Linked DNA regions of Pelodiscus sinensis. The protein of the gene in region 1 purifies or fractionates together with the protein of each later gene. This does not show direct contact. Links are inferred from orthologs where the notes say so. Each region holds a gene or a part of one and is shown on either strand. Other genes may lie near its edges.

Region 1 (7,426 bases):
AAATGTTTACTTTAAACATGTTATGAAACATTCCAGAAATTGGTTTGATGGGATAATTTTACATTAGAGGCATGCTTTTCTCCTTTGGAAAATTTTGGAATTTTTGTTATACAGGAATTTTTTATCTTTTTAAATAATTATTTTCTGTGGGAAATGTTGGAATGTTTGATAGGAAATTTTGTTTTTTTACTTTTGTGTGAAATTTCAGAATTTTTTTTAGCAGGGCTACTCAACATGTGGCCTGTGACCTGTTTATTTGTGGCCCCTGGTGCAGTTTGGGTTTACATGGGGCTCAACATCCGGCCTGTGGGTGGGATCCTTGGAACATGGCCTCCACTGGGAACACGCTTCACAACATGATACAGTTCTGTGGTGATCTGGAAGCCTACTTTCGCTGTCTCCATCTCAAGGAATACTTCCAACACAACACTGAACAGTGCACTGACACACAGATACCTTCCCACCAACAGCACAAGAAGAAGAACTCCATATGGACACCTCCTGTGGGTCGAAATGACAGTCTGGACCACTACATATGTAAGGGGACTGTTAGCCCCTTATACTCTGTGGGAGTTTTTTAGTTTGCCAGCTCCCAGTGTCAACAGGGGAAGGGTCCATGAGACTGACAGACCCCAGAGACAATGGAAAGCAGCCAACACTCCAGCTTAGCCTGATTGACAAGTTGGACAGGCCAGTGAGAAAAGCAAGAGGCCAGGCCCCGTCCTCCCTGTGAGCTGGGATTGTTCTGGCTCTCTCTGAGCAAACAGAGAGCTGAGAGACTGCCCAAGGGGGGCAAGCTGTGTGCAGAAGAAGTCCTGCAAAAACAGGGAGCTGAGAGACAGCCCAAGCAAAGCAAGCTGTGTGCTGAGGGGCAGTTTTTGCAGCAGCTGAGCCAGACACACACAGCTCAAGGAGCGCAGACCCTGTGTTGAGCAGCAGACTGGCAGTGCTCAGAGAGCCAAAAGGAACAGAGAAGCAACGCAAGAAGCTAGAGACTGGCCACGCAGCACAGCCTGCAGCTGGATGTGGTGAGCAGCTGGGAACTGCAAAGTATGGGGAGAGGCTCTGGACTGGGAGAGGGGTCTGGCCACTTAGAGCTTGAGGCTGTGTGGTCACTGCCAGAGCAAGCGTGTCCAGCCTGCAGCCCCCTGCAGCACATCCAAGGCCTCTAAGGGGCCTCTAAGGAAGAGACTGTGGACTGACCTTACACTCTGCAGGCTGCTGTTTTGATGTCCCTGTGCTACAGAGCAGGGCTGTGTGTTCTCATTTAACCATTCTCATTTTTTCTTATTATTTTCTCTTTAATCAGTTGATGTTTAATAAATTGTATTTGCTTTGAACCTTATGAAGTGATCGCTGGGCCAAGAAGGCCTGCAGTGTAAAGAGAGCACCTCGGAGTGGGGACACCCTAACTCCTGCCCCTAGTGACTACAAGGTCGGGGATTAAGCCCCAGGAAACCTGGGCCCAGCCTTGTTGGGGTTTCGAGGGCTCTGCTACTCAGGAGAGTGGAGGGGGAGCCCTCAGGATCAGGGAAGCCGTGGGGTAAAGGAAGTGGGAGTGGGGACTCAGATCCTTTCGCTGGTCCATTTCACCGGGGTGTATAGAAGCCAGGAAAGTTCCCCACAATAGCGGGACCATTCCCCCACTTACACATAGAATGCTTCTGCCAACGTGCACAGGCAGAAATTGTGGAAAACCAGCATCGCTTGCCCCGTAACCTCAGTCGTGCAGAACGCAATGCCATCAACAGCCCCCAGAACAACTCTGACATTATAATCAAAGAGGCTGATAAAGGAGGTGCTGTTGTCATCATGAACAGGCCTGACTTACAAAAGGAGGCTGCCAGACAACTCTCCAATACCAAATTCTACAGACCACTTTCCTCAGATCCCACTAAGGAATACACTAAGAAACTGCACCATCTGCTCAGGACACTCCCTAAACAAACACAGGAACAAATCGACACACCCTTAGAGCCCCGACCAGGGTTGTTCTATCTATTACCCAAGATCCACAAACCTGGAAATCCTGGACCCCCCTCATCTCGGGCATTGGCACTCTCACTGAAGGACTGTCTGGATATGTGGACTATCTACTCAGATCCTATGCCACCAGCACTCCCAGCTATCTCTGTAACACCACTGATTTCCTGAGAAATCTACAATGCATTGGTGATCTTCCAGAAAACACCATCCTAGCCACCATGGATGTAGAGGCTCTCTATACAAACATCTCACATATAGATGGAATACAAGCTGTCAGGAACAGTATCCCTGATGATGCCACAGCACAACTGGTGGCTGAGCTCTGCGACTTTATCCTCACACAGAACTATTTCAGATTTGGTGACAATATATACCTCCAGACCAGTGGCACTGCTATGGGCACCCGCATGGCCCCACAATATGCCAACATTTTTATGGCTGACCTGGAACAACGCTTCCTCAGCTCTCATCCACTTACGCCCCTTCTCTACCTACGCTACATCAATGACATCTTCATCATCTGGACCCCATCATTAGTGACCTACAACCCATCCTGGACAATGATCCCTCACTTTCACAGGCCATGGGAGGCAGGCCAGTCCTTGCCCACAGACAACCCGCCAACCTGAAGCATATTCTCACCAGCAACTATACACCGCACCATAATAACTCTAACTCAGGAACCAATCCATAAAACAAACCTCGGTGCCAACTCTGCCCACATATATATACCAGCAACACCATCACAGGACCTAACCAGATCAGCCATACTGTCACTGGTTCATTCTCCTACTCATCTACTAACATAATATATGCCATCATGTGCCAACAATGCCCCTCTGCTATATATATCAGCCAAACTGGACAATCCCTACGTAAAAGAATAAATGGACAAAAATCAGATATTAGGAATGGCAACATACAAAAACCTGTAGGGGAACACTTCAATCTCCCTGAACACACAATTGCAGAACTAAAGGTAGCCATCCTGCAGCAAAAAAACTTCAAGACCAGACTTCAAAGAGAAACTGCTGAGCTACAGTTCATCTTCAAGTTTGACACAATCAACTCTGAATTAAACAAAGACTGTGAATGGCTTGCTAACTACAAAAGCAGCTTCTCCTCTCTTGCTATTTACACCTCCAAATCAGCTACTGAAAGTGGGCCTCATCCTCCCTGATTGAATCCACCTCGTCATCTCTAGTCTGATTCTGGCCTGCATATTTATACCTGCCTCTGGAAATTTCCACTACATGCATCTGATGAAGTGGGTCTTTGCCCACGAAAGCTTATGCTCCAACACTTCGGTTAGTCTATAAGGTGCCACAGGACTCCTCACCACTTATGCTTCACAGCGGTGAGCATTTCTCAGACGGGGTGAGCATTGAAAGACGCAGGCAGACGGGCTGGCTGGAACAGACCGGTACAGGGTGTCGGCATTTCTAGCCCCCAGGGAAGAGGTGCCAGGAGTGCTGGGGCATTGTGGGAAGTGCTGGCTGCTTAGCCTTGTGGACAGAGCCTGACAGGTGCTGACTGGCTCACACTGGCCCATGGTGGCTTGAGGTTTTATCTTTGTATTCATGCAGGTCAGTGTGAAAGAAGCTATTTGCATATATTTGCATATAAATGTGCATGTATATGCAACCACACTTAAGTCACGGCCCTTGGCATGTGCTGTGAGTATCATTGTGGACCCTGGGGCTTCCTAAATTGAGTAGCCCTGGTTTTAGGATAAATTTTTGTTTACTTTTTAAAATGTTTTGCAATCAAATATTTGAAACCTGTGTTTTGCAGAAAATAAATCAACAGGACATGTCAGAATTTTTTCATGGAAAATATTTAATTTTTTTGAGAGTAAGGGAATTATTTCCAGCACAAAATTTCAACATTTTTGTTTTATAGGAAATAATTTTATTTTTATGCAAAATTTCAGAATGGTTATTTCACAAAATTTTACTTTCTGCCAGTCCCGCCCCCCTGCCTCTCTATTTCTGGCAGGCAGAGGTTTAGGGAAGCCCAAAGCATGGGCGTCACATCCCTGGCTCTCTTGGCTAATAGCCAAAGAAGTCATCCATGCCTTTTTTGGGTCACAGTGGCAAGGAGTTCCACAGGTTAACAGGCTAGTATGCTGCAGGGCTCCCCCATCCCAGCAGCTGCACCCAGCCCTCATCAGCCATGTGTTGATGTGGACTCACTTGGCCTCAACAGTCCTGGTGCGGGAGGGGACCTAACACCGGGGCCAGGGATGGGCCGGGGGAGTACTACACGCATGCGCAGCGCTCTCTTTTTGCAGCGGCTCCGTTGTTGTGCGCATGTGCTGGCAGCGGAGACTACATTTCCCGTGGTGCCTCCTTCTGGCGGAGATGGGGAAAGCGGGGTTATTGTGGGCATGCGCAGCGGCGGCTCTTGGCGGAGCAGAGTTGCGCGTGCGCAGTGGCCAGGGTGCTGGTGTCTGCGCAGTGAGGCGGCTCGCGGCGTTGGGCGAGTAGCATGAGGCCGGGTGAGCGCGGCTGGCCCACGTGTGCGGGGAGGGGCAGTCAGTGGGGGCCGTGTCCCGGGGGACGGGTCAGTTGGGGGGGCATGACCCCGGGGGGGGGGGACAAGGTCAGTGCGGGGCCGTGACCCCGGGGGGGGGTCCGGGGCTGGGGGTGCTTAGTGGGGAGCAGTCACGTGGCCCGGGCTGCGGGGGGTCGCGTGGCCCAGGGGGGTGTCCAGGTGCGGGAAGGGGGGGGGGTCTCTGTGCCCCTGCGGGGGGCTCGTGTCTGCACAGGAGCCTGGGGGGGTAGTGGGATGGGGGCGCGTGTTTGGGTTTTACTGTTAGATGGGGGCTGGTGGGTGGAGGTTTTGGGGCGCACCCGAGAAGGTGCAGACAGTGGGGATAGAGGGACGTGGAAAGGCAGGTGGGAGGCGGGCTAGCAGCGTGCTGGGGTGGGGACAAGGGAGGTGAAGGTTTAACCAGTTAAGGTTAACCAGGGGGGGCTGCGCAGGCCAGGCTGGAGCAGTCCCTGCCTCCCGGGCAGGGGATGGTGGGGGCTGCTCTAGCTCGGGATGTTAAGAAGCGGGTATTTAACCAGTTGAGTAGTCGATAAAAATTCTATCGACTACTCGATTAGTCAATAGGCAGCTGGCTCAGTCCCGGTTTGTACAGGGTTGGGACCAAATCCCGCTGTGTCTCTGCAGTTTAAAGGCGGTAGGAGCTTGGGGGCAGGTTGCCTAATTCCTACTGCATTTTCAATTGCAAAGACACAGTGAGGTGAACTGGGGCTGAGCTGGGCTGCCTGCCCAGCCGGCAGAAGCCCCTGCCCCTACCTCCGCGGAGACCGTGCTGGGGAGAATCGGCTTTTAAGCCAGCGGAATGTGAATAGTTAACTCCCTGGTTGACTAATAGACTGATCCCTTACTTCTCTAGGTCCAGCCCTGTGGCAGGCCCTCCCACTGCCCCCGTTTAATTGGTTTACCTATGTTTAACCAGTTAATCAATTCAAGGGGATGGGGTGACCAGGAAGGATATGGGGTGGGGCTGTATCCATGGTGGGAGAGCAATGGTGGGGAGTGGTGTTCGGGTTCAGGCCGCTCTCTCTCTCTATGGTGTGGGTGGAGGGTCATGGTGGGGTGTGGTCTCTAACTCTCTCCTGGTTGCAGGTTTCAGTCCCCGTGGAGGGCGCGGTGGGTTTGGGGACCGTGGAAGAGGCCGAGGGGGCTTCCGAGGAGGCCGAGGTAAGTGCTCTCTGTGCCCCAGTGGCATCGCTGTGTTGGGGAGGGGAGGGCTTTGTGGTTACGACTGAGCACCTGTGTGCTGCACCTCCCCCTCTCCCCTCGGTCCCAGGCAACACCCACTGTTGGAGACCTTCCTGTCCAGTGAATACTGGGAGAATTTTGCTCCCACCGCACCTCAGTTCAGTGGCCATTGACTTTGGGCTGTGTTGCTGTGTGGACAGCACATCCTGTCCCAGCTCCATCAGTGTGCCATGGTCCAACCCCTGCCTGGGTTATTTCCCCTCGTGATCTCAGGGACACTGGATCCCCGCCTTCATATCTTGTCCCAAAGTGAACAGCTGCTCTGCCCCTCTGCTTTCCATGCAGGGCGGGGACAATGGCACAGGGCCAATGTGCTTCTACTCCATCTCTTCTCTCCCTTGTAGGTGGTGGGTTTAAATCTCCGGGTGGGAGTGATGGAGGCTTCCGAGGAAGAGGAGGTGGCGGTGGTTTCCGTGGACGAGGCGGGCCAGGCCGAGGAGGCCGCGGTGGAGGAGGCCGGGGCGGCCGAGGAGGGTTTAAAGGAGGCAAGAAGGTGACGGTGGAGCCCCACAGGCATGAAGGTAACCAGCATGGGACAAAATAGTGCTGTCTCCTGGGAGCAGTGAGGTGTTGTGGCCAAGGTGGTCTGCCTGGACTGGACAGCGCTGGGATTCACTGCTAGATGTTGGATTGATCAGGGCACAGCTGGGGTGGATTGCTATCCAGTGTTGGAGGCACTGTGTATGGGAGGTTACATGGCTGATCCATGGCTTGGCAGCCCTGCTGTGATCCCTTTATGATTTGCAAGGGCAATTGACTCCTTCCCATAGCAGGGAATGTTCCCCCTGCTCTCCTTAGACTTGGGAAGAGGGTTGTCCCTGTTCTGACAGCTTCCCATCCGTTTCCTCCTTCCACCCAGGCGTCTTCATCTGCAGGGGGAAGGAGGATGCGCTGGTGACGAAGAATCTGGTGCCCGGCGAGTCTGTGTATGGAGAGAAGAGGATCTCTGTGGAGGTAGGCGGCCTTGTGGTAATGGGGGAAATTCTGGGCAGCACTGGCTGCCCCAGGACTCAGGGGTGGGATGGTGCCAGCCTGTTAAGGCAGCTCCCATGTTTCTAGAGGGACACTACCCCAGCAGGAAGGGTATTAGGGTTGGGGCGACTGCCACAGTGGAGCATGCTCGCAGCCAGTTAACAGCCCCGGGGGAGCTGAGCTGAGCTTTGACCCTGCTGCTCTCTCTGCAGGACGGTGAGCTGAAGATAGAGTACCGTGCCTGGAACCCTTTCCGCTCCAAGCTGGCAGCAGCCATCCTAGGTGGCATTGATCAAATCCACATCAAGCCGGGAGCCAAGGTCCTGTACCTGGGAGCTGCTTCTGGAACCACAGTCTCACATGTCTCCGACATCGTGGGGCCGGTAAGGAGCTGCTGTTGGGCCTGGGTCTGAAGAGGATGGGGGTGGGGGCAGGGACGAAGTGTCTAGTGAGTATGACTCAGCTGTGCTGAGAGAAGGCAGTGCCTGATTGCATTGTGGGGGGAGGGGAGAATGGGAAGAAAAGCTGCTCTGCCCTTGGGGGAGATGGCTGACCATGGTTTTTTACCCCACCCAGGAAGGCCTGGTCTATGCTGTGGAGTTCTCCCATCGCTCCGGCCGTGACCTCATCAATGTGGCGAAGAAACGCACCAACATCATCCCCGTCATCG
Region 2 (7,632 bases), on another chromosome or scaffold:
GCACTTCACTGAATTTCCAAGCACTTTGCATGGTGTGCTACTCTCAAAGATAAACTGTACTAAGTTTAAAACACATAAATTCCTTGTATTTATGAACGAATGTATTCTTAGTTTACTAGGTTAAATTCATGTTTCCTGTTTCCCCCCAAGGTAAAATGGCCATGAATCCTTAGAAGACAAAGGCAAGATACAATGGCAAAGTATACCCCATTGTGCTACAGCAGTGGTCTCCAACCTTTTTACACCCAAGATCACTTTTTAAAATCTCAGAACAGGCAAAGATCTACCACCCCGCCCCTTCCTTGAAAGCCCGCCCTCTCTATTCTCCTCCTGTCCATCACTTGCTATCCCCAGCCCTTACTTACACACTCTGATAAACAGTTTATTTTTAAATTATGCGATACATACAATTAAAATCACATGTTTATAGTTATGAAATAAATGGTCTGTTTTTTATTCATGCTATTTAAATCTAAAATGAAGCATTTATAATTATACATTTTTGTGGGGACAGAGTTCTGTGGCTGGGGGCAGGGGAAAGGGAACAAGGTGCTGGGAGGGCAGAAGACAGGTTTCTGCAGCTGGGGACAGGGTGCCAGTGGGGACAGAGTTCGGGGAGTGGGGACAGCGTTCTGTGGCTGGGGCCAGGTGAGTGGGGACAGCGTTCTGTGGCTGGGGAGTGGAGACAGAGAGTCCCCTGCATCTCCCTCCTCCCAGGATTCTACCCCCCACCCCCAGGGAAACCAGTGTGTGCCTGCCCCGGCGCCAACCCCCCCTCCCCCCCCCCCGCCCAGGAAAGCCCCGCGTGCACGCCTGCCCCGGTGCCGATTCCCCCGCCCCCGCGCAGGGAAGCCCCACGCGTGCCTGCCCCGGCGCCGACCGCTCCCCCCCCCCCCCCCGCGCAGGGAAGCCCCGCGCGGGCACACCTTGCCCAGGGGGACAACCCCCCGGCGCAGGGAAACCCTGTGCGCGCTTGCCCCGGCGCCAACCCCCCCGCCCAGGGAAGCCCCGCGCGCACACCTGCCCGGGGGCCAACCCCCTGCGCGCTTCCCGTGGGGCTGACTCACCTCTCCTGTGCAGTGCAGGGAGCCAATGCTCCCTCCCACAGAACACCCGGCAGAGCAGCTAGTGCACTTCTGGAATCGCCGGAAGTGGCGCTAAGCTGCAGGACTTCTGTCCATTCCCGGGAAGCCGACACTACCTCCATTTTCACTTGAGGTAAGTAGTGGGGCTTCTCGGGGGTGGGAGGGAAATGGGGGCAGGGCAGACAGGACGCCTCGCGAGCGACTGGTTGAGGCCTCGCGAGCGACCAGTAGATTGCGATCGACCTGTTGGTGACCACAGTGCTACAGTATAGAAAAATAAATTGACTACAAAGCTTCTGTTATCTGTACTGGCCCTGAATGACAGCAGAGCTGACAATGAGAAACAGCACTAAGTTAATAGCTTTTCATTAACCTCAATCCTGGACAAAACATGCTGGCTGCAATTTTTACCAAGTCCTTTATGTTCACTGAAAAGATCAAATATCAATTAAGCAAAAAACCCATCTCACACTTACCTCTCACCAGCTATTTTCCGCACCAGTTTAGCCTCGGTGCCATGCACTTCTAGCTCCCACCCTCCAGACATCTTGGGCAGGGATTTATGTTTCTGGATCTTCTTCTCCTCTTTAATTTCATCTGTCAGAAACTGTGCAAATGCTTTGTCCCCTTCAAGGAATAAAAAAGACAAAGACATTAATACACCTGAGTTAGAAACATTGTTCCCTAGTGGTTAGATGAGAAAGTAAAGTTAAGCCTCAAGATTCTATTTCTAGTTGAGCTACGTACTTGACCAAATAGCTTGTGTGTACCTCAGCTTATCTGGGTATAAAATGGTGAGGTAAGACCACAGACTTTATACTGATATTAGAAGGCCTACTTGTTCATAAAGTGTTTGTTCATGTTCAGCTGAAAAGCACTATACTGTTGAGGGCAAAGAATTATGTTGATTACAGAGAGAGGACATGTAAGAGCCCTTGATTTGCCAAAGGTTCTGAAGTTCTGGATGAAGGCTTAGGTAAGGAGTGATTACTAAAAGACATTATTAAAAAGCTCTTCTTTCAATATATGCAAGTACTGTTACAGGTACAATATAGGAGGGAAACAGCACCTAACTTATGAATGAAGTGAGCACAAGAAGTTGGATGGCATCAACCCCTCTCAAGTTATGCAGATCCACGCTGCTCTGCAGTCTTCTTCAGAAGCCCAGATCTCAGGCTTCAGGATTTGCATTTAAGGTGATGCTTTTACTGGTTCATCAGGTGACCAGTTAACCTTTCACATCCCTCGTTAAGAGGGGTGGAGGAGTGCAGCGATGCACATAATAGAAAGGTTGAGAAACTTGCCCAAGGCCGCCCATTTTGTCAATGGCAAAATTAGGAGCAGAAACTGCCTCAGCCCCAACTCCCCCTGCTGTGCTAGCCAGACCTCTCCCATGGCAGGAGCCAGGAGACGATGGAGACACAGCAGGCTCTCCCCGCAGCTGCCCGAGCGCAGCATCCCGCCCCCGGGGGGGAATCACCAAGCGCTGAGCGGAGCCGGTCACGGCCAGGGAAGCCGCCGCGAGTCCAGGCCGAGGAGCCAGACGCCGAGCGCGGCTCAGGCGCAGCGCGCACGTCTGGGCCCCTCGCGGGTGACCCGCCGGCCCCAGCCCCGCGCCTCGGAAACCCGCTCTGCGTCCAGGGCTCCCTGCCCCCGCCCTGCCTCCTTCCACCCCCCATTACCCTCGGTGTGGAGGCCGCCGCAGCCGCAGGACAGGCCGGCGGGGGAGGCCCGCGGGGGCCGCAGGAGGCCGGGCCGCTGCGTCCCGGCGGGGTCGGCGCTGAGCAGCCAGAGGCTGCGGGTGAAGGGGCGGGCGGTGGCGGGCCGCAGCAGCGCGGAGGGCAGGAGGCGCGGGGGCCGCTGGGGCAGCGGGCGGAGGGCAGCGGCGGCGGCGCGGAGGGCCCGGGCCAGCAGCATCCTTGGCGGGAGAGCGAGGCCGAGTGAGGCGCGGGGCACGTGCGGGAGCAGAGGACACGGGGCGGCCCCTGGCCCGGAAGCGGAAGCTGTCGCCCGGAAGTGCACGCGGTCGCCCGGAAGTGGTTCGATGAGGGGGCTTCTGCCTCTTCAGGTCTCGGGCAGCGGCAGCCGCGGGCCGCCCTTGAGCCGTACAAGGAGTCGCGTCCCCGCCTCCACCGAGCTCGCGTGGTAAGGCCCCCCCCCCATTGCCGCTGGCGCCCCCGCTCTAAGGCCGGGCCAGGGGACCCTCTTCCCGCAGGCCGATCTCGGCGCGAAGCAGGCCCCGCCCAGTAACCGTCGCGCGCCCCTCCCGGCCCCGCCCAGTAACCGTCGCGCGCCCCTCTCGGCCCCGCCCAGTAACCGTCGCGCGCCCCTCCCGGCCCCGCCCAGTAACCGTCGCGCGCAAACCGATCGGAGGGGCGGTTCGGAGGCCGCGGGCGGGCGGCAGTTGGCCCGGGGCCTGCCGGCTCGAGACCTAACCGCTGCCTCGATTCGTGCCTTGCAGCCGCGCCGGGGGATTGCAGCCCTGCAACGCGCCCCCCCCCCGCACCGCCGGAGCCGCTGGTCCCTGCGGGATCCATTCGAATTCACTGACCTCGCGCGCTGGGCACCTGCTGTGGAGCCGTGTCCCCGCATCAGGCACCAATCGAAGTTTCCCGGAGGTGACGTGTCCACGTTCAGAGCCGGCCTCGGCCTCGGCGCCCCAGGCGGAACTCTGGGGAGCGGCTCCGTCTGGTGTCGACTTGGGCTTTCAGAGGCTCCTCTCCATTCTTGCATCCCACAAGTGCTCCTCCATTACGCCCCTGTTGTGCAACAGGAAAGGGACACGGTGGGCACCTGTCTTGTTGTGCCCTGGGTTCCCACACTGGCACCACAGCCCTGCAACCATGGAGCCAGAGCAGCTGCAAGGCAGTGCCACGCTCATGGCTTCAATGCTGCGCCTCATGGAGCAGTACTTCGACAATGCCCGCACGTTGCTCCAGCAGGAAGAGGAGGAGGTCCAGCATGGCCCAGAAGCCATGGTTAGCGAAGTGTTGGCACTCCTGCTTCTGTACATGCCTCTGACTCCCCTCGACACAATGGAACATCGCTTCTGGCGGAGGGAGTCAAGCACGGACTGGTGGGATCACATTGTCATGCAGGGATGGGATGATCAGCAGTGGCTGCAAAACTTCCGCATGCGCAAGGCCACCTTCCTCGAACTCTGCGAGTGGCTTGACCCTGCCCTCAGGCACCTGAATACCCGAGTGAGACCTGCCATCCCCGTGCAGAAACGCGTGGCCATTGCCCTCTGGAAGCTAGCTACATCAGACAGCTACCGCTCAGTCGGGAATCAATTCGGGGTGGGGAAATCCAGAGTCAGGGCTGTGCTCCTACAAGTAGCCAAGGCCATCAACCACATCCTGCTACAGAGGTTTGTAACTCTGGGCAACATAGACAACATCTTGGATGGTTTTGCCGACATGGGCTTCCCCAATTGTGGGGGGGTCATAGACGGAACACACATCCCCATTGTGGCTTCTGACGACCATGCCTCAAACTACATCAACCAAAAAGGGTACTGTTCCATGGTGCTGCAGGCACTTGTGGATCACAAGGGACGCTTCACTGACATCAACGTTGGATGGTCGGGAAAGGCGCATAACACACGCATCTTGCAGAGCTCATCCCTCTTCAGTAAGATGCGTGCTGGCACTTTTTTCCCCCATAGGGCAATCAAGGTCGGAGAGTTGGAAATGCCCATTATGATCCTGGGAGATGCAGCCTACCCTTTGCTCCCCTGGCTCATGAAGCCCTACACAGGCCGCCTGGATGCCAGCAAGGAGGAGTTCAATAACAGGCTGAGAAGGTGTAGAATGGTGGTGAAATGTGCATTTGGGCGTTTAAAGGGGAGGTTCAGGAGTCTCCTCACCCGCCTGGACATCAGCGAGCTCAACATGCCCTTCGTGGTGGCGGCATGTTGTGTGCTCCATAACCTGTGTGAAAACAAGGGGGAGACTTTTCTTCCAGCATGGGGGGCTGAGGCAGAACGCCTAGCTCGGGAGTTTGAGCAACCAGACACCAGTGCCACAAGGAGAGCACAGCAAGGGGCATTGTTCATCAGAGACGCCTTGAAAGACAGTTTTATGCAAGACCAGTTGTGAGACTCTCCACCCTGCATTCTGTGTGTGTGTGCGTGTGTGAGAGAGAGAGATCCCCGTCTCTCTGTTTTCCTGCCCTCCTTGGCAGAGCAAACAATAAAGAGATCATTGATTAACAAACAGGAGTCTTTATTCAGTGGACATACAACAGGGAAGGGAATGGAGAAAGAACCTGTAATGGGGGCCAGGGCTGGGACTGGTGTTTGCCTCCAGGTGGCCTAGAGGGCCCCATGCCTTGTGTTTTGGGGTCCCAGCAATCCCTGGAGACCCTTGCAGGGGTGGCCATCGAGCAGGTGGGATGTGGCTGGTGGCCCAATCCATGCATGCTGCTACATGCTCCAGCACTGCTGTGAGGGTAGAGAATATGTTACGCTGGTGTACCAGCTGCTCCCATGTGGCCTCTGTCTCCTGGTCAGCCTGCCGCTCCTCTCAGTAACCTGCTCCAGGTACTCTGCCTTGACTTCCTGCATGAGGGACTGCAGGCAGACCAGCTGCTCCCTCATGAGCATGTCCCATGTTCTTATTCATCTGCAGATCCTGGTCAGGTGGATAGATGCAGCAGGAAGTTAGGGACATGCCCAGCTCACCGCTGTCCTGCTGTGAATTTACAAGGGCAGTCTTCACAGGAAACGCTTTGTATGAAGCCTAGCCCTAATCACTGAGCCAACACTGAAGGTCTCAGTTCAGACAACAGCACTGTGTTTTGAGCAAGGCCATAATTTGCTTCTAAAGCAGGTACTTTCCAGCAGGTGCACAGACATCCCAGGGGAGCATCACAAACACAGAGACTGGAGATAAGTAGGCATGGTAAGGTGCCCACCAGGCCAGGACCATGCCGGGGGGCGGCTCAGCTTCCTACTGTGTCCTGCACATGCTGGGTCTGGCACTCGTGGCATCCTGCGGTGAGAATTTCTATCAATGCCTGCTGGAAGGAGAGGGGAAGTGTGTATGAGTGGCAGAAAGTGCTAATGGGTTCCCCTCCTCTTCTTCCTTCCAGCAGGTTCCTATGCATATCATCAGTCTTCCCTGCATCACTGTGCTTGATTTGGAGCGAATGCTGACTGTGTGCGGGCATGAATCAGGGCAGCGTGCTACACTGCTATGTGGTTCCATGACCCCAGACTGCTTCCTGGTGGCTTAGTGTAGGAAGGTGTCCTACCACAGAGGCTGGAATAAGGCAGGCCTCTATGGGAATCGTGTGAGAAGGATCAAAGGGTTCCTGTGTGACAGCATTGTGGCAATGAGTGCTCCAGCCTGACACGCCATCTACAGACATGTGAACAAGCTGTTCTGCAACCCTCGGAGGCTGTGTCTACACTGGGCCACTAATTCCGGAAAATCAGCCACTTTTCCGGAATAAGCTGTGAGCTGTCTACACTGGCCCTTGAACTTCCGGAAAAGCAACGATGCTCTACTGTACAAAATCAGCCGCTATTCCGGAAAAACTATTCTGCTCCCGCTCGGGCATAAGTCCTTATTCTGAAACACTGTTCCGGAAAAGGGCCAGTGTAGACAGCCCAGTAGTCTTTTCCGGAAAAGCGCATCTACATTGGCCACAGACGCTTTTCCGGAAAAGGGGCTTTTCCAGAAAAGCAGCCTGCCAATGTAGACGCTCCTTCTCCGGAAAAACTGAAAACGGAATAGTATTCCGTTTTAAGCGGTTCTGGAAATTCATGCCAGTGTAGACACAGCCAGAGTGAGTAACAGAGAGGAGCATGCAGCCCTTTGCCTGACCCTCACTTGCAGCTAAAGTTAGAAAACTCACCAGAAGTGCCCTCCCCAGGGTTGTCAGAAGCCTGGGAAACATCCTGGAAGGGGCGGACCGGCTCCAAAGCGAGGAGCAGCTCCTAGCTCTCAGGCATTGTTGCCTTTCTGGCATCCTCCTCCATCACCCTGCCCACCTGCAGGCTGATGCCAGGCATGTCTAGGCCAGACTGGACCACGGCGGTGGAGGTAACCGACTCCCCTCCCAGAATGACATCCAGCTGGTTGTAACAGTGGCAGGTGCTGCCCCAGAACAGCTGCTCTGCTCCCTGGCCTTCTGGTAGGACTGGCACAGCTGTTTGATTTTGAACCTGCACTGCTGCAGGTTCTTGGTGTGGCCTTTGGCCAAGAAGCTGGAGACAATCCTACCATAGATGTTGGCATTTGCCTGCATTGTGCAGAGTTCATGGAGGTTGAACGCCCCCTCCTCCCCCCCCCGCCCTACTCAGTGAGATTCAGGATCTCCTTAGCACTTCAGGCTGGAGCTCTTCTGCATCCCTGGGCAGTGGGGGCCATGGGAGCAGAAGTGCTGGCAACCATCACGATGTCAGCGAGGACAGTGGGGGCACTCATGTCTCCATGTGCTGGTCACTTGCACAGGGCTCACAAAGCTGATCACGTGGGACATGACATCAATTCCAGGATGAGCGCCGCAGGAGGGGAGAGCAGTGGGTTGGCCAAGCGTG
Region 3 (7,772 bases), on another chromosome or scaffold:
CAACATCTTTTTAAGAACACAGGAATAGCATAACTGGATTAGACCAAAGTCCATTTAGGCTAGTACTCTGGCCCACAGTATCAAGTGTCACACTTCAGAGGAAGGTGTAAGAACCCTGCCATGAACAGATACTCTGCCACAGCTACACACATCCATATTAGGTTTCACTCTGATCTCTAGCACCCAGAGATCTTGGGTCAGATCATTCTTTTAACATGTAAAAGCTGTGAACTATACTGAAACACAAAGCCTTAGTCCTTCATCTCCTATGTACACAATTAAACACAGTTATCTTTCATACCCAGGCTGTTAGCTCTTCATGGAAAGACTTACATTTTATTTGCTTTTTCAGGAGTTTCAAATTCTCTCCACAAAGTATCAACTTCCTGGAGTTTCTTTTCATCCAGAACCTGTGGATAAAAAATGAAACCAATGTTTAAAGACGTTTGGAGCAGGTGTGTGGAGGGGGGGGGAGAAGGGGGGAGGAATGGACACATGTTAAGTAGCTGACCTTCGGAGCTTAGAGACACTAGCAGGAGGGGAGCAGAGGAACTGGTGCTCTGGGATTGCTTCCACATTCACTGTTGGGGAGCAGAGTGAGCCAGGGCCACGCAGCTCTGCTTCCTGCACCACTGTCAGTGAGTGTGGAGGGGCCAGATCAATGTTCCCTGTAAGCTGAGCACATGGCAGCCACCCAGGAGAGAGTCAAATGCAGCCCAGCTGATTAGCAGAGCACTCACAGCCAGCAGCATGTTTCTACTGTTGATGCACATCTGCATATGCCTAGGGGCACATAATATTTATTCTGCAGGTGGACAGAAAAAAGTTAGAGGGAACACTGGATCTAGAGATGGTAGATACATGATTGCTAAAATAAATGTTAACTACAAAAAAAATGTTTTCAGTTACATTAGTGTTTCCCAATCTTTTCCAGATGGGGACCCATTTTGACAATTCAGGAATACTTGGTGACCTAAGGCAATTCAAAAACAGGGAGGAGGGAAGGCAGAGCCACCTGGGGAAGACACCTGGCAACCCTTTTGAAATGTAATGGCGACCCATATTTGGGTCCCGACCCATATGTTGGGAAACCCTGAGTTACATGGTGACTAGCCTTTGTACCAGAGGCAGCAACATAAGCTGGTTTAAAAAATCAACTCCCTGCACAGACCAGCTCCCACCTGCTGCTCAGGACTTACTCTCTTTGCAGTACAATGCATTCAGACCTACACAGCCTTCAGAGTAAATTTTAAAGACACCACCCTTGGCTAACAGACTAATATTTCAGATTGCTATCAACAAAAGAAATCCACCTCTGCCTCCCAAAAGATTAATCCACAGTTTCACTAGTCTACCATATTTCTGTGAGCTCTTAATAAGCAGTGCACTAAGACTTGGTCTACACTACATCCGCCACCTCCTCCCATCCTCAGCCCTTACATATAGTCTGTCAGAAAAGGTTTGCAGTGCAATGAAGTTTGAGAATTCCTGAACCCATCTATGCTTATATAAAAAAAAGTAGGGCCCTACCAAATTCATGACTATGAAGAACATGTCATGGACTGTGAAATCTGCTCTTCTCCCCCATTAAATTTTTATCATATATGGTAAACCGGGAGTGGGGAACCTCCACCGCAGTGGAAACTCTTGTACATTTCGAAGTTGGAACACCGCCACTGGGCTCCTTCTCCCTCCCAGAGCTGGAAGAACAAGAAAGCCAGTCCCTCCAGGATCCCTTGCTCTCCCCCCGCCTTGCTGCCTCTTTCTGATAGAGGCAGTAAGGGAGAGGGGGGAAGTGACCAGTCCTCCGTGTGTCCTCTGATAAGCTTTTGCTTATCAGATAGTTGACTAGTCACTTACATCCCTATAAGATTGTGTGTCCAGTTAAAGTTTCTGGAATGGAATCTTTGCTTTTCAATGTACACCAGTCAAGCTAAGCATTTTACATAAACATTAGCAGACAAATGTAAATTGAACACATCTTGTAAATGAAGTATTTAAAATACCATTACTATTAAGTTAGCCTCAATGCTTTCATTTAGGGACTAAAGGAATAATATTACTTGCAATAAACGCTAAAAGTCCCAGAAGAAACAGATGCAATGTGAACATATTTGGAAGGCAATAATAGAACATTAGTTAGTTGTATAAACGCCACAATTTCTGCTAATAGTTATCACAAGGGGATAATTCTTAACGGATCTGTTTCATTCCAAAACTGGTGGCTAAAATTAACAAATGCAAGACCAGCTTGCTCTTCCCGGATGCAAACAGGAAGTGAGTTGTTGGTACCACAAGAGATCACAGGGAAAAGCTGCAGCTGCAGACACGTGGTCACTGACATTTACAATTACACTTTATCCTGCGGAATGAATCAAAGCTCAGGCTCGGAGAGAAGCCGATCTATGCAGGATCCGCGAGGAAGCGATGTATCCCTGTGCTACACGCTGCACGACTGCCCAGGTCCGGTTTTCTACCCGGCCACTGCCCTAGGCAGCAGGGGCTGACCTTGTCGGATCAAACGCAGAAAAACCTGCCTTGCAAGTAGCCCGGCGAGGGAGACCCCCGGGGGGGCCGAGCAGGCAGCGAGGGCAGAGCCTCCCTTTCCTGCGTTAACCTGCGCCCCAGCCCAGCCACCGCCTCCCACGGACCTCGCGCCTCTACTCGGTACCGGCGCCAGGCCCAGCTGCGACAGACCCGGGGCTCTCGCCTCAGGCACGTGGTCGAGGCCCGGGGCAGCACCCGGCGCTCCTGCTGCAGAAGGCTACGGGCCGCCCCGCGCCCCTGCCGCCTGCCTCACCTTGAAGACGGCGTAGCCCGCCGCGGTCTCGAAAAGCACCAGCATGGCGGGTGAGGGAGGGGGCCCGGGTCAGCGAGAGCGGCCGCAGCGCCAACGGCCCGCGCGCGCGCCAGGCGACGCCACGTGAGGGATCCAGGCCTCGACCGCCCCGCCGCAAGCAAGCAGCGCGCGCACGGCAGCCAACCGGAAGTGAGGAGACAGGAAGCTGGCCTCGGCAGCCCAGGGGGCGGAACTCAGAGGATGACGAGACAGAAAGAGCCGGAGCGGGGGGGAGGGAGAAGAGTGGGATTAGCTCAAAGGATGGCCCGGACCAAGCTGGGAGGAAGGGGGCGGGCTCAACCGCTGCGAGGCGGGGCTACAGCTCCTGACCCCGCCCATTGTGGCTGGCGGCGCAGGGACGGCGGGTCCTGTCTGAGGGTGGCGAGCAGGGAGCGATCCCCCCCGTGTTACTTCCCGCCCGCCGCTGGGCTTGGGCGCGTTCGAGACAGTCCAGAAGAGAGGGACCCACCTGGTTCAAGCTCCAGAAAGCACCGGGGCTGCGGAGAGCGTGTTCATTCTAAAGGGGTTGAGATGGGTTCAACTAGAAGAGGCCCCCGCTTTGTGACGGCCTGAGTTCCGAGCCCCCGCACTTACGGCCTTTTCCATAAGTGCTGAAGGGGCCGAACCCCCCCCCCCGACTTACATCCCTGTCCCCGCATTTACAGTGGAACGATGTCTGTCAGAAATGCAGACTCGAGTTACGACGGCCCCGACTTGCGACGCGAGCTCCAGAACCGATTGCATTGCAAATTAGGGGCAGACCGTTTCTAACTATCGTAAAGAATAAAATTGTCAGACACGTAGATGAACATAATTTGTTGGGGGAAAGCCAACATGGTTTCTGTAAAGGGAAACTATGCCATACTACTCTACTACAGTTCTTTGAGGGGGGTCAACAAACGTGGACAAGGAGGATCCAGTGGATACAGTCTACATAGATTTCTAGAAAGCCTTCGACAAGGTCTCTCACCAAAGGCTCTTAAGTAAAGTAAATAGTCATGGGATAAGAGGGAAGGTCCTTTCTTGGATTGATAACTGGTTAAAAGACAGGAAACAAGGCGTAGGAATAAATGGTAAGTTTTCCGAGTGGAGAGAGGTAACTAGTGGGGTCCCCCAAGGGTCTGTCCTAGGACCCATCCTATTCAACTTATTTATAAATGATCTAGAGAAAGGGATAAACAGTGAGGTGGCAAAATATGCAGATTATACCAAACTTCTCAAGATAGTTAAGACCAAAGCAGATCGTAAAGAGCTTCAAAAAGATCTCACAAAACTAAGTGATTGGGCAACAAAATGGCGAATGAAATTTAATGTGGATAAATGTAAAGTAATGTACATTGGAAAAAATAATCCCAACTGTATATACAGTATGATGGGGACTAATTTGGCTACAACTGCTCAAGAGAAAGATCTTGGAGTCATTGTGGATAGCTCTGAAAACATCCACTCAGGCTATGTCTACACTATAAGGTTTTTGCGCAAAAACTGGCAGAGCATCCACACCTCAAGCACGTTTTTGTGCAAGAAAATTGACAGAACAGAGGGCTTTTGCTGGTAGTTATTCCTCTCCCCATGAGGAATAACTCCTTTTTGCACTACGGCTCTTGCACAAACAGGCAAGTGTGGGTGCTCTAGAGGTGTTTTGATGCAAGAAACCCCTATTGGAAAAAGCACAGGTGTTCTGCTGGCCATTCTGTGAATGGCCATCAAAGCTTTCTTGTGCAAGAGTACCTATGCAGTGTGGATGCTCTCTTGCGCAAAAGCACATCTGGCTTTTAAATGTTTTTACAGAAAATGTAAAGTATTGTGGAGAATTGTGAATCCTTGAAATATTTCAGTTTTGGGCTATACCTTTGTTTATTTTTTGTAATTATTTTTTAAACTTTTAATGAGTTTGTATTACTACAGTGACCCATGGTATTCAACCAACTCCTATGGGTTTATTTAAACTGCCTAATAGAGTTCTACCAACTCCTGGGATTATATAGAAACTGTCCAATGGAGTTCTATAAACATGTCTAAAAACCTAAAGAATAAGCAGTTACTAGACGCAAACAGTAACAAACATTCATAAGCATTTGATCAGAATACTCACAAAAGGATTAGTCCCAGAGATAACCCTGGCTTGTTCCAGCATCAGAAAGAACCTGATAAATATTCCTAACAAATCTGGTTCTTTTATGGTGCAACAAACAAGAGACATCATACTGACCTTTATGAAAACATGCTTATGATACTTCCATTTTTTTTCAAAACAACCCAAAACTTTAAGCATGAAAAAACCTACCACCCCTCAAGATATACATTGATATCTTCAAAGGCTCCCCCACTCTAGAGAGGTTACTGTAACATTAAGGATGATTGTGTATGGTGAATTATTGTTTAATATTGTTAGAAGGCCCTCAGTGCTTTGTTTTTTAATTTAAACAGAAAAAAAGTATTGTAACTAATAAAATAAAATAGCCTAAAGCAGCCCAGTTGTGCAGACAACTTAATTTCTCCACTCCCAACCCCAATCACAGAAGAGGGAGGTTTGGAGAAGGATGCCTAAATTCCTTAAATTATCTATTAATTCAGAGTTGTGATGATTTAGCTAACCTGTTAAATACAGATTTTAAAGTTTGTTTGAAACAAAGAGGATGGTATAAAAAACTCAGGTTTTTGGAGACAATCCTCTTTCAGTAGAAATGATCCTGAATTGAATTGCTGCTGGACTGTGATGTGAGATATGTGGCTTGTATTTAACTCTGAAAATATATAATATTGAGTTTTGGAGAAACACGAGTGTTAAAAATAAAGCAAAACTGGTATATTTTTTACAGCCTGAAATTGATTGTTTTGTTTAAAGCTATGACTTTTTAAATGAAAAAACATCCTAATGAGCATTTTATTTTTAAGCTTATGAGACTATTTCATTGTTTTATAATAACGTTGTCTGCTCCACAGTACAATCAAAACTTGAGAGATCTATAGACCAGAGAATAAACAAGCTCAAAAGAAAAATTCACTAGCAGCAACAATTGATGGTTGGACAAAGTCCAGTAAATATATTTTGTTTATTGGTTTGTTGTTTTATTAGATTTTTATATGTTAAATAGATGCATAGGTATGGGTGAGAAATATGGTAGAATTAAGTTTTGTGAAATTTTTATTTAATGCTAAATCTCTGTTTATTACTAACAAAATAGTGAATGCCATACCATTTTAACAATGTGCTTAAAAGTTTGTTTAAAATTTCTTTTCTCCAATCAATTTGTAATTTTCAGACCTTCTCTGAAAATAGGTTAAAGGCCTTGGATACCTCACCACCCATCTTGTCTTTTATGTCTACAGGCCCAGGCATATTTGGATAGAATGTTTATCGCTGTTAAGATGTACTTAAAACTGCTGTTGTGTTTGGAGAACCAGTACATGTCCATCAAATCTGCTGCCATTGCACATCCACATCTGAAAAAAAAAGATTTTATTTCTTTTAAAATGTATTTGAGCTGGTTTGTGTAATGCGTAAGAGTCCTGATCTGAAAGCCAAGCTGTTACCTGTCTTCTATTCAAATAATTATGCTTTTTGGCTGCTTGAAACAGAGGGTTTACCTCGCTGAAGCTCCTAACTTCTCTGGGGAGTGTAAGAAATTTTCTTTAACAGAATCGTCTACATAGACATGACTGTTAGTGTGTTAGCAAAAGATATTACACGTATGGAGGGGATGCATTCAGACAGATAAATTTAAACAAATGTTATTAATTGCCTGGTTTAACACATCCTTTTATAGCAGCCTGTGAAAATGAACACGATAACCATTAGAGAACCTGAGCTAGTTTATTCGTCCATTTTGTTCTTTTCTGGATTTTCCTCTCAAGATGTGTGTCTCAGACACAAACAAAAACAGCTGATGCATGACAGATTTACTCCCACAGAGCTACCAATGTGTAGGTTCTCAAAGGACTTTAGAAAGGCATCATCGAGCTGTCAAGAGATTTTCAGAAAGGAAGCAGCATGAGCTCCCACGCTAGATTTAAACAGTCATGATTTGGTTCCTAACCCTATTATACTCCATCATCAACCATCATTTCTTCATCAGTCATTTATCTGTGTGACTTTGTTCATTGGGGACACCTTCTTCCATAGGGTTGGATGAGAAGCCATCATGCTCATTGGGCTGTCCCATGAGCACTTGGGTATCGGGGTTGGTCCCAACATATCCAGCAACAGCTGAGCCAAAGGGTTCTCCTCAGAACAGTTCCTCCTTGGAACAGTCACTGATGTAATGCTCAGGGCTAAAACTGTCCAAAGTTCACAAGGGGGTGGTGAAGGAGTCCCTGTTTCCTCAAAGGATTTCCAAGATTTCTGAAACACTCATTCTTGGGATAAGATGGCCTCTTCCATGTGGTGCTGGGGTTTCTGGGAGTGGTGCTGTGCTCTGATTGGTAAGGGGTGGTTGGGGAAGCTCTTAGAGAGGTCACATGACCCTTTTCAGGGTGGGACACCCAACCCCAAAACCTACCCTGTTCAGTCAAATCCACTCTCAGGATGGTCCCTGTGGCCAAAACTCATCACAGTTGGTAGAAACCAGTGGGAGGAGTTTTTAGAGGCTCATTATGACCCACTTCCAAGACAGATCACCAGGCCCCAGAAGGACTCTGGTTTGGTCAAACCTACACTCGGAGTGGTCCTGTGAAGCCAAAACCCATCCTGATTGGTAGAGGGTGCTGGGAAGAGTTATTAGAGGGTTTACATGACACTCTTTGCTTCTGGTCATGTGTCCATCTTGACCCCAAAATTAATTCCCTAGGGAACTGGACCAGTGGGTGGGCAAGGCCTGCAGTTAGATTGATGATAGGACCCTTATACTACTATCATAAATTTCAATGGAAAGTTGCATGTGAAAAGACTTTGGCACTGGCTCCTCACTTTACCAGTTTTCCTTTATAGCTT
Region 4 (7,828 bases), on another chromosome or scaffold:
AGGCACATGTCTCAGGTAAGTCCTAGCTAAAGCTGAAGACAAGGGTCTAACTACCTGTAGCTTCTTAACGGCCACAATTAGATTAGCTGGGAGCGTGGGTCATTTTACAATCTCTCAAAAACAACTAGTTTTGCGAGGATTGTGTAAAGTGCATATCTACTACACAGTAACCCCGGATAAGGTTTTCCCCTCTGTTTAGAATAGCTTATTTTTACTGTTTCTCTAATCCCTTTAAGGTTTCCTGGACTAACTAGCTCCTTTTCCCTACTCTCTAGCCTCTTATCCTGAGAAGACCAGCTACCCTTTCAACAGCTGCTTTGTTGCCAAGAAGCCAACTTGAATGCACATTCTTTTACGAAAATTAAGGATGTGTCTTCATTGCCCAGTTAGCATGGATTCTCACCTGGGTGTGAGCACTTCTACCTACACAGAAAAACCCGGGTTTGGAGGTTCTTTAAGCCCAGAGTTGCTTGTCCAGCTGGGGAAAACTGTCCAGCGAAGTCATACCATAAGTATGGAATATCAAAAAACTCACATATTAGCCTTTCACTTAAAATAAGGTTAAAAGGGGTTAAAGGGCCGTAGGCTGCTGCTCCTGAAATGGCAGCCTGGAACTTTGTGACGAGAAGGCCGATTAGAAGTGCTTTGCAAATATTTTCTAAAAAACAGTCCTTCCTTATTATGGACAGGTACTGCCTGGAACACAGTACCAGCTCCTCCAGTCAGAACTCAACAACTTCTCCCCTGGAGTACCAGCACCCCCCCCCTTTTTAACCAAAAAAAAGCACTGGATGGACCTAACCTCCATGAATCTATCTAGCTCTTTTCTGAACCCTGTTAAAGTTCTAGCCTTTACCACATCCGCTGGCAAGGAGTTGACTGTGTGCTGGGTGAAGAAAAACTTTTGTTTTAAACCTACTACCTATTAATTTCATTTGGTGACCATTAGTTCTTATACTGTGGGAATAAGTAAATAACTTTTCCTTATTCACTTTTTCTACACCAGTCATGATTTTATAAACCTCTATCATATCCCCCCTTGATCTCCTCTTTTCTAAGATGGAAAGTCCAAATCTTTTTAATCTCTCTTCATAGGGGACCCCTTTTGTTACCCTTTTCTGAACCTTTTCCAATGCCAATATATCTTTTTTGAGATGAGGTGATCACATCTGTACGCAGTAATCAAGATGTGGGCGTACCCTGGTTTTAAATAAAGGCAATAAGATATTCTTGGTCTTATTCTCTATCCTTTTTTAATGATTCCTAACATTGTTTGCTTTTTTGACTGTCGCTGCACACTGAGTGGATATTTTCAGAGAACTATCCACAATGACTCCAAGAGCTCTCTCGCGTAGTTGTAGCCAAATTATTCCCCATAATACTGTATGATGGAAGTTTAGTTTTGCTGGAAAACCTTTGCCATTTAATACACCAATCTGAAAAACAAAGCGACCATAGAAATGTCCCAGAGATGGACTGGCTTAGTCCTTCTCAACAAATATTGTAGGAGGAGAGACACTTACTTGAGCCAGTAGTTGAAGACATCCAAGAGAGAAGCAGCATTAGGGTCCTGGTCTGTCTGTAAACCAGAAACACACAGGACTATTAGCACTGACAAACCACATGGACTTCTCGACTTTGGATGGAATGGAAAACCCTGACCCATTGGCAACCACTTCTGAATTCACACCTTCCTGATGTATACCAGGTGGAGAGGTGGGAGACTTAGCAAATGGAGTGTGTTGCTCATAAAAACCTTCAATAGCATCAGAAGCTAGAGTTAAAAGCCTCTGAGTAATCTGAAAAAAGAAACAACCTGAGTTATTTAGGACTCAAAATTCCAGGACCCATAGATTTGTTAACATCTACAACCAAGATTCTGCAGACACTTCAGCCACACGTGTGCTAGGAGACATTGCCTTATTCTTAACTATGCACACTGAGTAGTTTCATTCATGTTAAGGGGACAACTCAGTGTGTCCAGTTAGGTATATGCCAATGCCTTGCAATAATGGAGCCTAATGGGAGGGGGGAAAGATTTACTTAACATCTTGATTAGACAGTAAGTATTCTAGAAGAATTATCACTATCAGTATCTAATTACGAAAAGACAGAAAAAGTGGGCAGATCTGGAGAAAGTTGGGGGGAGGGAAGAGAGGGGAGGGAGGCCCTCCCAATTTTGCGATCATCTGCCACCATTTTCAATGAGGTCTCACGCCTTATGCAGAGACTGTCTCTCCCCGGTGCTAAGGTGACATGCAGCTGCCCGGAGAGGTAGGCAAACACTGTTCTCCCAGGAGCCCCCCCCCCCGGGGACAGCCCCCCCCCTTCCCCCAGGACCCCCCCGGCCCAGCCCCCCCTTCCCCATGACCCCCCCCGGCACAGCCCCCCCCTTCCCCCAGGACCCCCCCCCTTCCCCCAGGACCCCCCCCGGCACAGCCCCCCCCTTCCCCCAGAACCCCCCGGCACAGCTCCCCCTCTCCCAGGACCCCCCCCGGCACAGCCCCCCCCTTCCCCCAGGACCCCCCCCCGGCACAGCCCCCCCTTCCCCCAGGACCCTCCCCGGCACAGCCCCCCCTTCCCCCATGACCCCCCCCCTTCCCCCATGACCCCCCCCCCGGCACAGCCCCCCCCTTCCCCCAGGACCCCCCCCCGGCACAGCCCCCCCCTTCCCCCAGGACCCCCCCCCGGCACAGCCCCCCCCTTCCCCCAGAACCCCCCCGGCACAGCCCCCCCTTCCCAGCCCCTCCCCTCTCCCAGGACCCCCCCCCGGCCCAGCCCCCCCTTCCCCCAGGACACCCCCCCAGCCCCGCCCCCAGGACCCCCCCCCCGGCCCCGCCCCTCACCACGCCGGCCGCCCGGCCGAAGGCGCGCGCCGCGCCCTCGAAGTGGTTGTCGCGCAGGAAGGCGAGGACGAGCGGGAAGAGGTCGCTGGGCACCGCGCGCGCCTCCGCCATGCTTCCACGCCGGCCGCCCCGCACGTGCCGGGGGACGCGCTGCGTCGTGAGGTCACGGGGTCACACGTCACACGTGGCCCCGGAAGGGGGCGGGCCTAGCCGCCATGTTGTTAAAGGGAGGGCCCGCCGCCCGCACAGCCGTAGAGCGCTCGCGCGCCACCTGGCGGCCGGCGGCTGCAGTGCAGCGGGTAGGGAGGGGCGGGGCCAGGTCCTTCGCCAGCCTCCGGGGCAGGTGCCACCTGAGCACGTGGGAGGCCAGCAGCTGGGGCCAGTGGGCCCTGCCCTGGGGGCTGATCCGGGCCTGGGCAGCACTGAGCTGGGGGAGCCGAGTGCGGCTAGAAGAACTAGAGGACACCAAATGAAGTTAATGGGGAGCAGGTTTAAAACTAATAAAAGAAAGTTCTTCACACAGCACATAGTCAACCTGTGGAACTCCTCGCCGGAGGAGGCTGGGAAGGCTAGAACTAGAACAGACAGGGCTGGGTGGAGGCATGGGCGAGCTGGGCAGCTGCCCAGAGCCCCAACCGACGAGGGGCACCTAATGGCAGCTGTAAGGGGCGCATGGTGTCCCTGACAGATGCCATCAGGAGACGTGCGCCCGGCTCCTGCAGCACCTGCCCCTCAGTGCCGGCCAGCAGTGCCCTTCCCCCGACGGCTGTGGGGCCCTGCACGGCCCGGCATGTGTGCCAGCAGCGCTGGCCGGGCTGGGCTGGGTAGCGCATGCTCCGCGTGCCCCGGCAGCGGGCCTCAGGCTTTGCGCCAGTGGCCATGGCTAGCGCGCGTGTATGCCATGTGCCCCATGGGCAGGCCCGTGCCCCATGGGTGGGCCTGCGCATGCGCCCTGTGCCTGGGGGCAGCACTGCACGCCCGGGCCCAGGGCGCCAAAAGGGCTCGAGCCAGCCCTGATAATAGAGTTTAAAGAGAAGCTAGATAATTTCATGGAGGTTAGGTCCATAAAAGGCTATTAGCCAGGGGATAAAATGGTGTCCCTGGCCTCTGTTTGTCAGAGGCTGGAGAGGGATGGCAGGAGACAAATCGCTTGATCATTGTCTTCGGTCCACCCTCTCTGGGGTACCTGGTGCTGGCCACTGTCGGCAGACAGGCTACTGGGTTGGATGGACCTTTGGTCTGACCCAGTCCGGCCGTTCTCCTGTTCTTATGAGTTTATGCGCCGACAAAGTGGGGCTCTTATGTAAACTGTAACCAAGCCTGGGACTCTCCCGGGGAAGGAGGCATTGCACCCGCTCTTACCAAGGGGAGAACTGAGTCAGAGAGGTCCAGGCCAAGATTTCGAGCAGTGATGGCAGATTTTGGGCGCCCCTCTTGAGACCTCAAAGAGGCCGGCTCCTCAGGAAGGGCTGGGCAGCTGCTCCCTGAACCAGCCCCATCCAGGCAGGCTGCTGATGGGGCAGCCCCAGGTGCTCGTCACTCAGGACGAAGGGAACGTGGCCGGGTTGCGGTACTGGGGGCTGTCCGGGCTCGAGACGGGAGCATTTTATTTCTGCCTCCTGGGGAAGTGTTGCCCTTTGCCCAAATGGCTGCCACCTCCCATCTAGGGGCCAGCCTCAGCGAGATGGCTCCCGCTGGCGTGCGTGGGCAAAGCGCCCCAGCCGGAACTGCAAGGAGGAGGAAGACCAGCCCTTGGGCCTGGCCACGGAGAGGCCACCACGCTGCTGTCCTCTCAAGCAGCCAAAGTCCCTCGCCTCTGAGTGCAGCCCCGCTCATGCTATGGCTGTGTAGTGCCGAAGCCCGGCCAGGCAGGGCAGACGGGGCCCTCGCTGCTGCTCTGTACTTCCCCTGGAGAGCAGCTTCCCAGCAGTGACTAACCGTGAATGAAGCGCAAGGCGGGTGTGATACACACAACACTCACCCCACAAACGCCTAGTCACTGCCCTTCTCTCACTCTTGTCCCCGGCTCGGCGAGTGTTTTCTTCTCTCGTGCCTCACGGGCTCTGCTCAGCCGCGGCCTGGCTTTGCTTCTTGCTCTGGTTCTGTCAGCTGCAGGGGGAGCCAGGCTCTCAAAGCAGGGCCTGTCCTGCTCCCAGCTCCGCCTTGGGAGACACAGATCTCGGAACCAAGCCAAGCGATGGAGCATTTTATGCCAACCCTCTGAACTAGTCCCATTGTCCCAGTCTCCTTGCATCTGTTTCTCTGCACTGAGCTGGAGTGGGCCTGCTAAGGTTGCTAAGGGAAGGACTTTCTGGTGGTGCCACACCAGGTCCAGGGGGTTCCCTGCTTTTCTCTTGTCCCCAGGAGATGTGGCACCTGCAGCCACTTTGACCTCAGCAGCCCAGTTGTGGTTTGGGTCTGTTCTGAAAATTGAGAGCGGGGGTAAAATCCACTTTCCCTGGTCTTAGAACTAGCCAGGCTGAGCAGGAGCTGGGAAAGACTCAGAGCCGCATGGGGTGACATCTGTAAGCTTTCTAGGGGTATTCCTTAGTCCCAGCAAAGATCCGTATGTTTTGCCTCCTGCCCTCTTATGACAGCTGCTTGACATTAGCTCCAGCTTGCTCTGCTGCTGTGGTAAGTCATGCGCGGGTGTCTAACATGCACCTGTTAAAATCAGCACTCAGACAGGGCCTGTACACTGCAGAGTGACGCTTGGTCACGTCCTTCATAAGCCAGGGCCCTACCAAAGTCATGGTCCATGTTGGTCAATTTCATAACCCTGGGCTTTTTAAAAATGGTACAGTTCATGAGTCCGGCTACTTCAGTCTGACATTGCAGGTTGTCACTGTTGGGGTCCTGACCCACAAAGGTGTTTGGGGGCAGTCGCAAGGCCATTGTGTGTGGGGGGAGGAGAGAGGTTGTGGTATTGCTACTCTTGCTTCTGTGCTGCTGCTGCTGGAGGTGACAGACATTGGCAGAGCTCAGAGCACCCAGGTAGGTATACAAAGTCCCTGTGACAGAGTGGGACCAGCTTCTTAGTGGCTTGAGTGTGAACCAAAGCCTGCAGTTTTGGTGAAGGCTCAAATCTAGATGTCAGATTTTAGGGATGTTATGAGACAGGCCAATACTTTGATCCGTAACTAACACCGATTCTTCCCTCTCTCCTCCATCAGACACTCTTTTGTGATGTCACAGATTCCTCGCAGTTTCCCCTGTGGAGAGGAACGCTGTTGGGTATGAATCCTAGAACACTAGAACTGAAAGGGATCTAGTGAAGTCATCAAGTCCAGTCCTCTGCCCCCACAGCAGGGCCCAGCACTGCCTAGACCATCCCTGACAGGTGTCTATCCAACCTGCTCTGAAATATCTGCAATGTTGGAGATTCCACAACCCCCATCAGTGATTTATTCCCGTGTTTAATCCCCCGGACAGGCAGGAAGTTTTCCCTAATGTCCAACCTAAACCTCCCTTGCTGCAGTTTAAGCCCATTGTTGCTTGTTCTGTCCTCAGAGGCCAAGGAGAACAATTCCCCCCCCTTCTCCTTGTGACACCCTTTTAGATCCCTGAAAATGGCTCTCATGTCCCCTCTCAGTCTTCTCTTTTCCTAACAAAACAAGCCCAATTCCTTCAGCCTTGCCTCATAGCTCATGTTTTCTAGGCCTTTCATCATTTTTGTTGCTCGTCTCTGGCCCTTCTCCAATTTCTTCACATCTTTCTTGAAATGTGGGGCCCAGAACTGGATCCGACACTCTAGCTGAGTACAAAGGCTCTGATTGGCTCGCTAGCAAGGCAGGAAGTGCTCGAACAGGACTCCCCTGACAATCTGCAACGGAGAAGGCTGCTTGGGGTAGGGAGATGGGGGCTGTTACTGCGTGCCTGGGACTGAGGAGGACGGGACTGGTCAGTTCTTGACTCAGGACCTTGGACAGAGCCAGCGTCCGTCTCCAGATCTCATCCCTTTCCATAAAACCAAACCGCTAGACACCCTTTCGTGCGGGGGTTCCTCTCTGAAGATGCCTGTCAGTGGAACCTGGTGAATCGGGCTCTGCTGATGGAACCGGTGACGTGCGCCTCTGGGCTAGCTGGAGGCAGGGAGTCACTTCAGAATGGGGCGAAGGGAGTGCGAAAGGGAACTGCTGGTGAATGCAAGAGGTTCGGACGATGGCATTGGCCGGCTGAATTTGCTCTTGAACTCAGAAATCCTGCTCTGACGCACCCTGGCGGGAAAGGAGCAGTAATGCTCCGTGGTGGCCTCCGAGCCACCCTGCTCCCAGAGGGAAGAGTAGGAACATGTAGTGTAAGGTGCCTCCTCTCTGAAAGCAGGGTGCACCCACCTCTGCCGGAATAGCAGGTCCCTAGGGTGATTCCTGCCCCAGCTACTATGGAAGCTGGTCCCATTGTGTCGAAATCGAGAGCAGGGCTCTGCTTTTCTGCACCCGGTGGGGGTGACGGTGGCTGGGAAGGGTCACAAAGGCCTCCTACAATCTACTGGAGCAGCAGAAGGCTGTATATAAGGTATTTTGCACCCATCCTAGCCCATTATGAAACCAGTCCCACCTCACCCACCTTCACTGATTTAAATCTTGCAAAATTAATTATGCAATGGTCAGACACCCTAAAAGGACCAGACACTCACCAATAGAGAAGTAGAGACCATAAAAGCAAAATACTAGAGTTTTTGCCCCCACCATTGTTGGTAAGTGATGCCTTGCCAGACTGAATGCCATCAAACAAATTGTTCTTTCTACATCTAAAGAGATTCCTTGCTTATCTACATGTGCTGTTGAGGGGAGCAGCCGGATGTTACCTTGTTTTAATATAATTTAGAAGGAGTGCGAGGATGTGGTTTTCTGCTCCTTTGGGCTCATGCCTGCTGCTCCCCTAGAATGGCTGCAGAAAAGGGCCTCAGACCTCACAGCTTTGCCTGCGTATTGTTTGACAACCTCCGTGCGAGGACTAGGGTGTGAGAATAAACACAGATG

Evidence for each region.
Region 2: the proteins of FBL (region 1) and C1QBP purify together in Homo sapiens (affinity purification with mass spectrometry; 4 studies listed by BioGRID and IntAct, counting the BioPlex papers as one, with this or other methods). This does not show direct contact. The link is inferred for Pelodiscus sinensis from reciprocal best matches to the Homo sapiens genes FBL and C1QBP.
Region 3: the proteins of FBL (region 1) and NOP58 purify together in Homo sapiens (affinity purification with mass spectrometry; 7 studies listed by BioGRID and IntAct, counting the BioPlex papers as one, with this or other methods). This does not show direct contact. The link is inferred for Pelodiscus sinensis from reciprocal best matches to the Homo sapiens genes FBL and NOP58.
Region 4: the proteins of FBL (region 1) and NOLC1 fractionate together in Homo sapiens (co-fractionation; 3 studies listed by BioGRID, with this or other methods). This does not show direct contact. The link is inferred for Pelodiscus sinensis from reciprocal best matches to the Homo sapiens genes FBL and NOLC1.

The regions. Positions count from the first base shown.
Region 1 is NC_134734.1:4,829,713-4,837,138, reverse strand, and holds the start of FBL (rRNA 2'-O-methyltransferase fibrillarin), read left to right. Parts: upstream 1-4,410; 5' UTR 4,411-4,476; coding exon 4,477-4,486; intron 4,487-5,628; coding exon 5,629-5,703; intron 5,704-6,128; coding exon 6,129-6,305; intron 6,306-6,643; coding exon 6,644-6,738; intron 6,739-6,968; coding exon 6,969-7,139; intron 7,140-7,332; coding exon 7,333-7,426.
Region 2 is NC_134731.1:25,932,191-25,939,822, reverse strand, and holds the start of C1QBP (complement component 1 Q subcomponent-binding protein, mitochondrial), read right to left. Parts: upstream 3,003-7,632; coding exon 2,768-3,002; intron 1,713-2,767; coding exon 1,562-1,712; intron 1-1,561. Other genes in the region: uncharacterized protein LOC102447468, read left to right, coding at 3,130-3,230, 3,547-5,185.
Region 3 is NC_134717.1:56,310,789-56,318,560, forward strand, and holds the start of NOP58 (nucleolar protein 58), read right to left. Parts: upstream 3,004-7,772; 5' UTR 2,846-3,003; coding exon 2,801-2,845; intron 411-2,800; coding exon 334-410; intron 1-333. UniProt on the Homo sapiens protein: Required for the biogenesis of box C/D snoRNAs such as U3, U8 and U14 snoRNAs. Part of the small subunit (SSU) processome, first precursor of the small eukaryotic ribosomal subunit.
Region 4 is NC_134718.1:2,408,417-2,416,244, reverse strand, and holds the start of NOLC1 (nucleolar and coiled-body phosphoprotein 1), read right to left. Parts: upstream 3,009-7,828; 5' UTR 2,958-3,008; coding exon 2,847-2,957; intron 1,580-2,846; coding exon 1,524-1,579; intron 1-1,523. UniProt on the Homo sapiens protein: Nucleolar protein that acts as a regulator of RNA polymerase I by connecting RNA polymerase I with enzymes responsible for ribosomal processing and modification.